Ovis aries: one gene and its partner. Each later gene encodes a partner of the first gene's protein in a complex. Links are inferred from orthologs where the notes say so. Each region holds a gene or a part of one and is shown on either strand. Other genes may lie near its edges.

The links.
Region 2: the proteins of NXF1 (region 1) and NXT1 are in contact, whole or in part, in a crystal structure (PDB 4WYK), measured with the Homo sapiens proteins. The link is inferred for Ovis aries from reciprocal best matches to the Homo sapiens genes NXF1 and NXT1. Residues at the interface, in NP_006353.2 of Homo sapiens: Ala366, Pro367, Thr368, Thr369, Leu370, Pro371, Pro372, Cys373, Lys374, Gly375, Tyr377, His411, Gly413, Cys415, Cys416, Ser417, Leu418, Ser419, Ile420, Pro421, Phe422, Arg440, Asn441, Val442, Lys443, Lys444, Lys446, Pro448, Thr449, Arg451; in NP_037380.1 of Homo sapiens: Phe6, Lys7, Val10, Asp11, Cys14, Glu18, Thr44, Val46, Trp47, Asn48, Gly49, Asn50, Ala51, Phe61, Met64, Leu65, Pro66, Ile72, Ser73, Val74, Val75, Asp76, Cys77, Gln78, Pro79, Val80, His81, Glu83, Ala84, Thr85.

Annotation. Positions count from the first base shown.
Region 1 is NC_056074.1:37,644,911-37,649,757, reverse strand, and holds the start of NXF1 (nuclear RNA export factor 1), read left to right. Parts: upstream 1-1,446; 5' UTR 1,447-1,559; coding exon 1,560-1,587; intron 1,588-4,847.
Region 2 is NC_056066.1:41,578,821-41,583,649, reverse strand, and holds NXT1 (NTF2-related export protein 1), read right to left. Parts: upstream 3,176-4,829; 5' UTR 2,871-3,175; intron 924-2,870; 5' UTR 885-923; coding exon 462-884; 3' UTR 275-461; downstream 1-274.

The DNA of each region.
Region 1 (4,847 bases):
CTGTCAGCCTCACTAGCCATGTCGTCATTTCTGGGTGGGAGCGCCGAAGAAGGGCCTAGGCAGAAATGGAGGGAGCCTGCTGCCCAGTATTACAACTGAAAGGGCTGGACTGATGACCCTGAGGGGCCAGGCTTTGGGCTCTGTATACACAGCTGCTTCCAGCAGGCCTAACCCAGTGCAGCAGTACTTAATTATCATGGAAAATTCCCTTCAAAGCAGGGTATACGATCCCAGAGTGGGTCTCTGATTAGTGGTAACTTCTAGGACCATCTCCAGAAGTATTTGGACCTGTTTCATCTGCATCTTCCAGTCCTACCGTTTTCCTTGGGCTGGATGAAGCAGGAGTTCTGCCTGCTGCCAGGAGTGAAAGGTGAAGAATTTGTTCCCAGCTCCAGCTGAGGCTCTTGGTCCCCTCTTGAAGCCCCTCACCAAATCCAAACCAGTCACAGGAGAATGAAGTAGAGATCTGCCTGGAATACCTACCCTACCCTGGAAGGTCAATATGCTTGTCAGTCCTGACCAGGACCCACAACCACATCATTCTGAGATCACTGGAGTACCCCAATTTCACACACCCCAAAGGAAGCTCAAGCTATAGTGACAACAGTCACACACTGGGCTGGCTGTAGTACCTTGGGGTTGGGGGCGGTAGTTATCTAGGAGAGCCCTGGCCTTTCTTAGCCCTGGCCTTTTAGTATTTGCTCTCCGTTTGACCTGTGTCCAGGGGGTGCTCTTGCTTGCATCTTAACTTTAGTTGACACACGATGTGGGTTTAAGCACAGCACATTGATGGTGGGTGGGGTGATCTGTGAAGATGATCAAAGCCTGACAAATGCAGTTTTTCTCATTTGACTCCACAACTATTGGGGGGGGGGGTGTTGCATAGATTGGAAATTTATTTCATAATATTTGCTGAGTTCCTGGTACATGCCAGGTATGGTACTGAGCCAGGTGCTGGGGAGAAAAAAAAAAAAGCCATGAATTAGTCAACTCCTTGCTCTCTTGGAGCTTACCTTCTAGTTTTCTATTTCATTTTATAGGCAAGGAAAGCAAGGCATAGATCTGTAGAAGGCAAAGGGCTGAGCTGAGACTTAAGCCCAGGCTGGATCCTCCTAGGGGTCTTGAAGCGGTCACTCCAAGGCACTGGTCTCCCATTCCTCAGAAGCCCTTCTTGTGGCCCTCCTTCCCTTTTTCTTTTTGAACCCTGGGGTGCAGTGGCCATCTCTGCTTCAGTGCCAACCTTGGAGGTGCTGCTTACCGGCCGACGATGAAAGCAGAGGGCAGGTGCGAGTACTAATCAGGGGGATCAGTAAACTAATCACTACTGGGCGGAGCGTCGGCCTCAAGCTCCGCCCCGGTGTCTCTGCTGGTCGAATGCGCACGCGCATCTCCCAGCGGCTCCGCCTATGATCGTGGGACGTCGACAGCGCGCGACACGGTCTCCTTATAAACGCGGTGGTAGCCGGCGTAGGAGCACTTCGACCTAGAGCGCCTGGGCATTCGGACGTTTGGCTAAGTGGCGGCCCGCGACGCAGCCCGCCCCTGCTTCTAGCTGTGCCATGGCGGACGAGGGGAAGTCATACAACGGTCAGTGCTGGTCCTTGGGCCGGGGAGAGGGGCGATCTGGAGCCCCGCTGGGCAGCGCCGGCCTAGGCCGCAGCGCCGGGGCGGGAGGCCGCGAGGGGCCGGGTGTCCGCGGGGAACGGCAGTGAGTGGCGCGGGCCCGGGGCGAGGCAGCCCGGGCCCTGGCTGAACTCGAGGGTGAGTGCCCGGCTCGTTGACCCCAGAATCCTGGCGCTGTGAGCACCTGCGGCTCGGAGCGGGTGGCTCGGCGGTGAGGTGACTGGATTCCTTTGAACTTTGTGGGTGGTGGATGCCTGTCAGTTCAGTTTGGCGGCTATAGTAATGTGAGTCAGTACCCTGTTCTTGGGCTGCCGGTGCCCTATTTTCTACCGTGCGTCCAGTCGGTCTTGCCCCCTCCCCCGCCGTCCGCAGCTTTAGCTTTAATATTCTAGACCTACACTTTAACTCACTGTTTTAGCCAGAACACTACAATGGGTTTAGATCCAGAGTAGTGGTTGTTGGCCATGCCGATCATATGTGAGTTAAACACTCAGGCCTGATTTTCCATCCCCTGAAGGAGGATAGAAACAGTACCTGTCTCCTGAGTTTGTCTCCATGTGTGTGTGTTTGTATTAAAACGAGATCGTGTGCGTCGAGCGCCTGACATCGGATAAACTTATTGATAAATGTTAACTGCACCTTCTAGTCGTCTATTTTTTCCCTAGGGTCGTTTCATGAGATTCAATGTTTGCAGAGTACTGGGCTTCCCTGGTGGCTCAGAGGGTAAAGTGTCTGCCTGCAATGCAGGAAACCCGGGTTCGATTCCTGGGTCGGGAAGATCCCCTGGAGAAGGAAATAGCAACCCACTCCAGTATTCTTGCCTGGAAAATCCCATGGATGGAGAAGCCTGGTAGGCTATAGTCCATGGGGTCGCAAAGAGTCGGACATGACTGAGCGACTTCACTTCACTTCACTTCATAGGGCTCTTTTTCAGAAGCCATTTCTACACACCACAGTTGAGAGGAACTCCAGAGTTTGAGAATAAAATTTATAAAAGAAACCATTAGATTGATCATACTTGTAGTTGATGTTTGTACTCAGTAGGCAAAAGGAGTATTGATTAAGTTAATGTAATCATTATGATTGGTTTACCTGGATATGAAAGAGGTCACTTGGGGTTAAGTTGATGTGGGTGGGCAGACAGCAGATTTCAGGTGACTTTTCGGAGAATGAGTTGTGTCCAGTTACCCTTGGGTCACTTCAACATTCACTTCAGAGTGGCAGTTTTTTAATATGGTTGATTTACAACATAATATTAGTTTTCAGGTATGACATGAAAGGGAACATAGTGATTCAGTATTATGATAGATTATACCCCATTAAAAGTTATTACAAAATAATGGCTGTCACCCCCCGTGCAATAATATATTATTGTTGCCTATCCATTTTATACTTAGTAGTTGCTGCTGCTGCTGCTGCTGCTAAGTCGCTTCAGTCGTGTCCAACTCTGTGCGACCCCATAGACGGCAGCCCACCAGGCTCCCCCGTCCCTGGGATTCTCCAGGCAAGAACACTGGAGTGGGTTGCCATTTCCTTCTCCAATGCATGAAAGGGAAAGTGAAATCTCTCAGTCGTGTCCAACCTTCAGCGACCCCATGGACTGCAGCCTTCCAGGCTCCTCCGTCCATGGGATTTTCCAGGCAAGAGTACTGGAGTGGGGTGGCATTAGTAGTTGGTATCTCTTAATCCCATAACCTTATCTTGCCCCTCCTGCTTTCCCTCTCCCACTGATAACCAGGAGTTTGTTATCTATATCTGTGAGTCTGTTTCTGTTTTGCTAAATATATTCGTTTTAGTTTTTACATATGTGATATCAGACAGTATTTGTCTTTTTCCGACTTACTTTACTAAGTATAATAACCTCCATGTCCATTCATGTTGTTGTAGTGGCAAGATTTCATTCTTTTTTTATGGCTGAGTAGTATTCCGTTGTGTGTGTGTGTATACCACATCTTTATCCATTAGTCCCTTGATGTTCATTTGGATTGCTTCCATATCTTTCCCTCTGTAAACAGTGTTGCTGTGAACAATGAGATGCAGGTATCTTTTTTTTTTTAATTGACCTGAAAACAAGTGAAGCTCATATGTATTCTTCCCTTTTTCTTAGTTTTGATGCTTTAAAGAAAAATCTTTATATTGGAGTATAGTTGATTTACAGCAGAGTGATTCAGTTATACATGTATCTGTTGTTTTTCAGATTATTTTCTCAGGGAGGTTATTACAGTACTGGGTAGAGTTCCCTGTGCTATATACAGTGGGTCCTTGTTGATTATCTGTTTCAGATAATAGTAGTGTGCAGATGTTAATCCCCACTTCCTCATTTAGGCATGCATCTTTTTAAATTAGTACTTTTTTTCTTTTTTCTGGATATATAATTGGAGTGAATTTGCAGGATCATATGGTAGTTCGAATTTCAGTGTTTTGAGGTGAGAACAAGACTTAAAAGAAGCCTTTCAATTGGTCGTAGTTGTAACTGACATTTGTGCTTTATAGGCAAAAGAAGTATTGTTTACTGAAAGCTGATGTAATCATTGTGATTGACTTTTCAAGATGTGATCAAATTTTGAGTAGGGGTAGTCTTAGAGAGTGAACTTATGGTTACCAGGGAGAGGTGGGTAGGGAAGGGACAGATTGGGAGTTTGGGATGGACGAGTACACACTGCTATATTCACAATGAATAACCAACAAGGACCTACTGTATAGCACAAGGAGTGCTGCTCATATTCCATTAACAGTCTATTTGGGAAAAGAATTTTAAAAAGAATAGATACATGTATAGGTAAAACTGAATCACTTTCTTGTACACCTGAAACTAACACATTATTAATCAGCTATACTCCAGTGTAAAATAAAAAGTTAAGATTTTTTTGAGTGGGGTTAAGTAGATTTGGGAGGGTGAGAAAAGCAGACCTCAGGTGACTCTCGGGAGTCTGAGTTGTATCCAGTTGCACTTGAGACACTCACTTCCACATTCTGCTTCTCCTTTCTCTAGTTCCAGTTTCTGCTTCACTTTTCTCAAAAGACTTCCCATAGTTTTCCAGTCACTGAGGTTGCCACCCCACCAAGAGGGTTCTTTCCCTGCACAGGCAGAGGAGTTTGCACAGAGGTGGCCTCCGTGGTGACTGTGTATCTCCTCTGATGGTGCAGGGTGCTGGATAGTGCGATTGCCAGGCAAGATAGCTGAAGCAGTGGTGTCTTCTCTTCTTTTTAAAGTATTCGAATAT
Region 2 (4,829 bases), on another chromosome or scaffold:
TGTGGTCCAGCCACCTAGTCAGGGGGTTCTCTAAAGTGTTTTAATAGACAGCTAGGGGGCTTTTGTAAAATGCCAAAAACGCTCAGGCCCACCCTCTGAGATTCAGTAGTTCAACCAGGATGTGCGCCTGGTGATTTTCGAAGAGTCCCAAGGGTGTCCTCTGTGTGTGCGGCAGCCCTGGATCTCAGTCTTTGCAGTGCCTTCTGCTGGCCTTGCAGCTTTAACCCTCCTTCTCCTGGGCCCCTCTCCCCAGTATCGCCCAAACACATCCAGCAAGGGGAAAAGAAGCAACATTTTATTCATCAAAATTTCCAGAACCAGAGTCTCTCCTGGGCAAATAGAAAAATAGAGAATTTTACTACTTCAAAAAGGCAACTGTGACAAACAAGTGTATGCCCAGACAGGGGCCCCTCAGACTTGAGCGAGCCCAGGGTTCAGGCTTGGGGTGTCCCACCACCCCACTAGCAGGCCCAGTCCTGGAACCGGAAGCAGTCGCTGGCAATCTTCCACACTGTGTTGCTGGGTGAGGCCTGGGCCGTCAGGATGAAGTTCTGGTTGAAGTCTCGCTGTTTGTTGCCCTCAAACTTCACTGTCCCACAGATCACCACAAGGACCGTGGTCTGGCTCGGGGTGGCTTCGTCATGGACAGGCTGGCAGTCTACCACGTTGATCTGGAACTCACTGGAAGGCAGCATCTCAAAAAACTCACTCAGGGACTCTTGCCCGGAGACAGCGTTGCCGTTCCACACCAGGGTGGCTGTGCCCATGTACAGGCGGGACAGCAGCCGCCGCCGCTTGTCCATGGTGCTGTAGTACACGTTCACGAACTCCTCAGCTGCGCGGCACGCCTGGTCCACATAGGTCTTGAAGTCCACGGACGCCATCAGTGGCCTCGCCAAGGGAGGCCTTGGCCCAGGTGCCTCCTGTACCCGAGGGGGCGGAAGGTGGAAGAGACCTTGTGTGAATGCTGATGACCGTCACGCCCCACAAAGGACCAGTCCTCCGACTGAGGCGAAATTCTGGGCGCCCCCTGCTGCCGACGCCTGGTCCGGCTGGGCCCCAGTTTGCTCATTGGAGACAGGAACATCCCTACCTGTGCATGACTATGACTGCAGTGCAGGATGAAGGGAAGCAGGGGACACCGCACACTCAGTTAAAAAGCCTGAGACCCATACGGCCAGCAATGACAGCTTATTACTATGAATTTTAACAATGAATTTCTTAACAACTGACTGTGGGAGGCTGCTTTTTCCTGGAAGCATGGAACAGCTGTGACTGCCCTCGTGTGTCTGGTGCAGACACCACACTCTGGAGAAAGGAACAGTGGCCCAACGAAGGCTGATCCATCTATCATGAGCTCACCTACTGGGCCTGGGAAGGTGAAGAGAAGGCAGGTTCCGTAAGAGGGCAAGAGAACAAATGTCGTTGAGGACAGGACAGGACCAGTACTGGTGGCCACAGTTCTCACTATGGGCTCTATTTGAGGAGCAAGGCTGGAGCTGACTGGAATGAGTGACGACTCAAGAGCTCCAGGGAGCACAGGGGAGTCCTGTGAGCCAAGAAAGGACAGGCCAGACAGAAGAAATTCTGTGGGGTGAGGGGGTGGTGACAGCAAGGAAGAATTTTAGCTGTAGCCAAAATGAAACATTTCCTTAAAAAAAAAAAGAGTCCAAAAGCATAAGGAAAAATTATTTGCTTTTTTTCCCCAAGGTATACAATAACTATTGTAGTTGTATTCTTTTTTGCCTGATTAAAATATTTCACTACACAAAAATCCAACAGAAGACAACATTACTAAAATATTGGATGCATTTAGATTTACAAACTTAAGTATTTTTTTATTTCAACGTTGTGCATGCATGCTCCGTAGTGTTCCTTTGACTCTTTGCGACCGCATGGACTGTAGCCCGCCAGGCTCCTCTGTCCATGGGATTCTCCAGGCAAGAATACTGGAGTGGGTTGCCATTTCCTTCTCTAGGGGATCGTCCTGGCCCAGGGATGGAAGCCGCCTCTCTTATTTCCTGCACTGCAGGCGGATTCTTTATGGGGATGAGACATGGGGAGAGTTTAACTTAAAAAAAAAAAAAAATCAGCTTTTGAAAGAGAGAAAAGATCCCACGCAAGGTTAGGAGGGAGTCAGGGAGAGGAAGGTGGAGGAGGCCAGAGCCTCCAGGAGAGAACTGGCCAGGGGTAGGAGCGGGTAGGCGGGGAGAGCTCCAGCCTTGAAAAGAGCGCTGAGGGCCAGGCACCCACGCGGGTCCTGCCACCCCCTCGGGGCGGGGGTGGGGCCTCAAGTCCAGCCGCGCACACACTCACTCCAAACTATACTTCCCAGCGCTTCATATACACCCCGTCCTTCAATAGTCACCGCAAACTGATGAGGCGTTATGGTAACAACTTCGCAACGAGGAAAGAAAACCCAGGTGTGGACTAGGTCGAGGGTGGACACGGCCCTGATCTGTCCTCTACTAGAATACGCTGCCTGCCCGGACGGCGCGATTGTCTCACCGGCTCCTGCCTCTCTGGGTCCAGTCTGGGGGCGCAGGGTTCCAGGATGGCCAGTTTGTAACCTCCCCCTCCGGGCCCATCGCCCTCGCTGGACACCACCCCCTGCACCCAGCCGAGCCCCCATCTGCTGGCGTCCACGCCGATCACCGGCATCTCGGGCCGCCGCGGCTCAACCAGCTGCCAGCCTGGGGGTCCTTAGGGAGCGGTCGTTTCTGCGGGGCTGCAACCGCCCCAGACTCGCGGCGAGACCAAGTGGCATCCTCGCCACTCCGGGGCCACTGACGGGGGGGGGGGGGCACCTCCTACGTACGCGGGGGTCATCTACCAGACCCGGGAGCGCAGACCTGCGCAGGGGCACCTACCTGCACGGGAGTGACCGCCCTGCTCAGTGCGGGAGATGACCGCGTCAGCGAGGGGCTCAGTTGGGCGGGCAGGTGAGGGGAAAATCACCGCACGGGTCGGCGTGGGCGGCTCCGTTCACGCGGCTACGCGGAGCCCCCCGTGACCGTAGGCCAGGCCAGCCGAGGCTCCGCGGTCCTCTGCAGCCTGCCCAGGCGGGCCGGGGAAGAGCCGCCTCCGCCTCACCACTACCTCCCAGGACCTGCCGGGTCCAGCCAGCGCCTCTGCGGGTTCCCGCGCGCGCGGCCAGCCAGCAACGCGCAGACTCAAGCGCCCGGCCCCTTCCCGCCCCGTGACGGACAGCCGTTTCAGCCAGTGGGGCTGCCGACCGTAAGGCTAGCCCCGCCTAAGTGTGGCACGGGTAGGGCAGCTTCCGGGAAAGGCAAGTTCCCAGAAGACCGCTCGCTCGAGTCTTCATTGGTCTATAGACGTAGGCCCGAGGTTAGGTACGGCCTCTGATTGGACGAAGCCTCGCAGATCCCCTGCTCTGGGGCGGGGTTGGGCGGGGGCTCTGGGGCCGTCTCGCGGCTGCGCTGAAACCTCCTGGCACGGGTTAACTGACGCTGCCGCCTGTTCTGGGTGTGTTCCCCTTGGCAATGCCAGGGCGGTTCTTTGCCTGCTTTCCTAGGGGAACGCTTGCTCTCAGAGTTCAGGGCCAGTTTAGAAAGTGGATGGGCTCTTCAATATAGGCTACCACCCCCGCCATGAAAAATGTGGTTTATAAACAAATAAATTGCAGGTTGAGTAGAACGTTTGAATTGAACTAGCGTCTTTGGAACCTTATGCACAAGACAATGTCTTTACAAAGCCCAATCCAGTGAAATGGGAATTTAATCTACAAAACTCCGAATCCCAGCATCACTAGCATGAAAACGAGAGTTGACCTCCTGCATGCCCACTGGGTTGGATGTCGCTTTTAAGTTTCCGTATGTTTCCCATGTAAACCCGTTTCATTTCATTCTCATAACTTCAGGAAGGCATCATTATTCCTGATATAGACTAGGAGGTCGAGAGACAGAAATTAAGTGACAGTCTGGAGTCACAGAGCCTCTTCAGTCCTAGAAACACTGGTCGGGAGGATATTTAACCAGCCCTAGGTTCTGATGAAAACAAGAATTTAACCCTGAGAGGCAGCCCAGCCAGCAACAGGAAGATGGGAGGTCCGGAACTTTCAGATTAGTCTCTACCATCTAAACTGTGCCTGATCCACAGCAAGGGGTCGGTAAATACTGTTTGAATGAGCAGACAGGGTTCAAATCATTGCTCCACAACATTCTAGTAAGCTTCCAAGCAAGCCTGTTTTATACTTTCCGGTGCTGCTTGAGTTTAGAAAGTTAGACACACTGCTGGCTCTAAGGCAGCAATTCTAGGGTGGTGGGCTGCCTAATTAGGGCCGCTGAAGCTAGAGAAGGAGTTTGCCAGGGGATTTTGGAAAAGATGCTATTTCTCTTTTTCCTTCTGGACATGTGATGTGCGGTGGTGCTGCTCCAGCCATCTTGCTCTGCTGAGGTGGGCACCCTTGTACCATGAGGCAGACAAGAAAGAGGGGGAGAAAGCAGACTTTGATGACTGTTGGGAACCAAATCAACCCTGAAGTTTAGCCTTTCTAGTTTCAAGAGTCAGTATATTCCCTTTATTATCAGTACTGCTAAAAATTGGGCATAAACAAACACAGTGTTAGTTGTTCAGCCGTGTCTTACTCTTTGCAACCCCATGGACTGTAGCCCACCAGGTTCCTCTGTCCATGGAATTCTTCAGGCAAGAATACTGGAGTGGGTAGCCATTCCCTTCTCCAGGCGATTTTCCCAACCCAGGGATCGAATCTGGGTCTCCTGCATTGCAGGTGAATTCTTCAGCAACTAAGCTATCAGAGAAGCCTATAAAAAAACCTACTTGTAAGTTAATTAGTGTGGCTTCCTGCA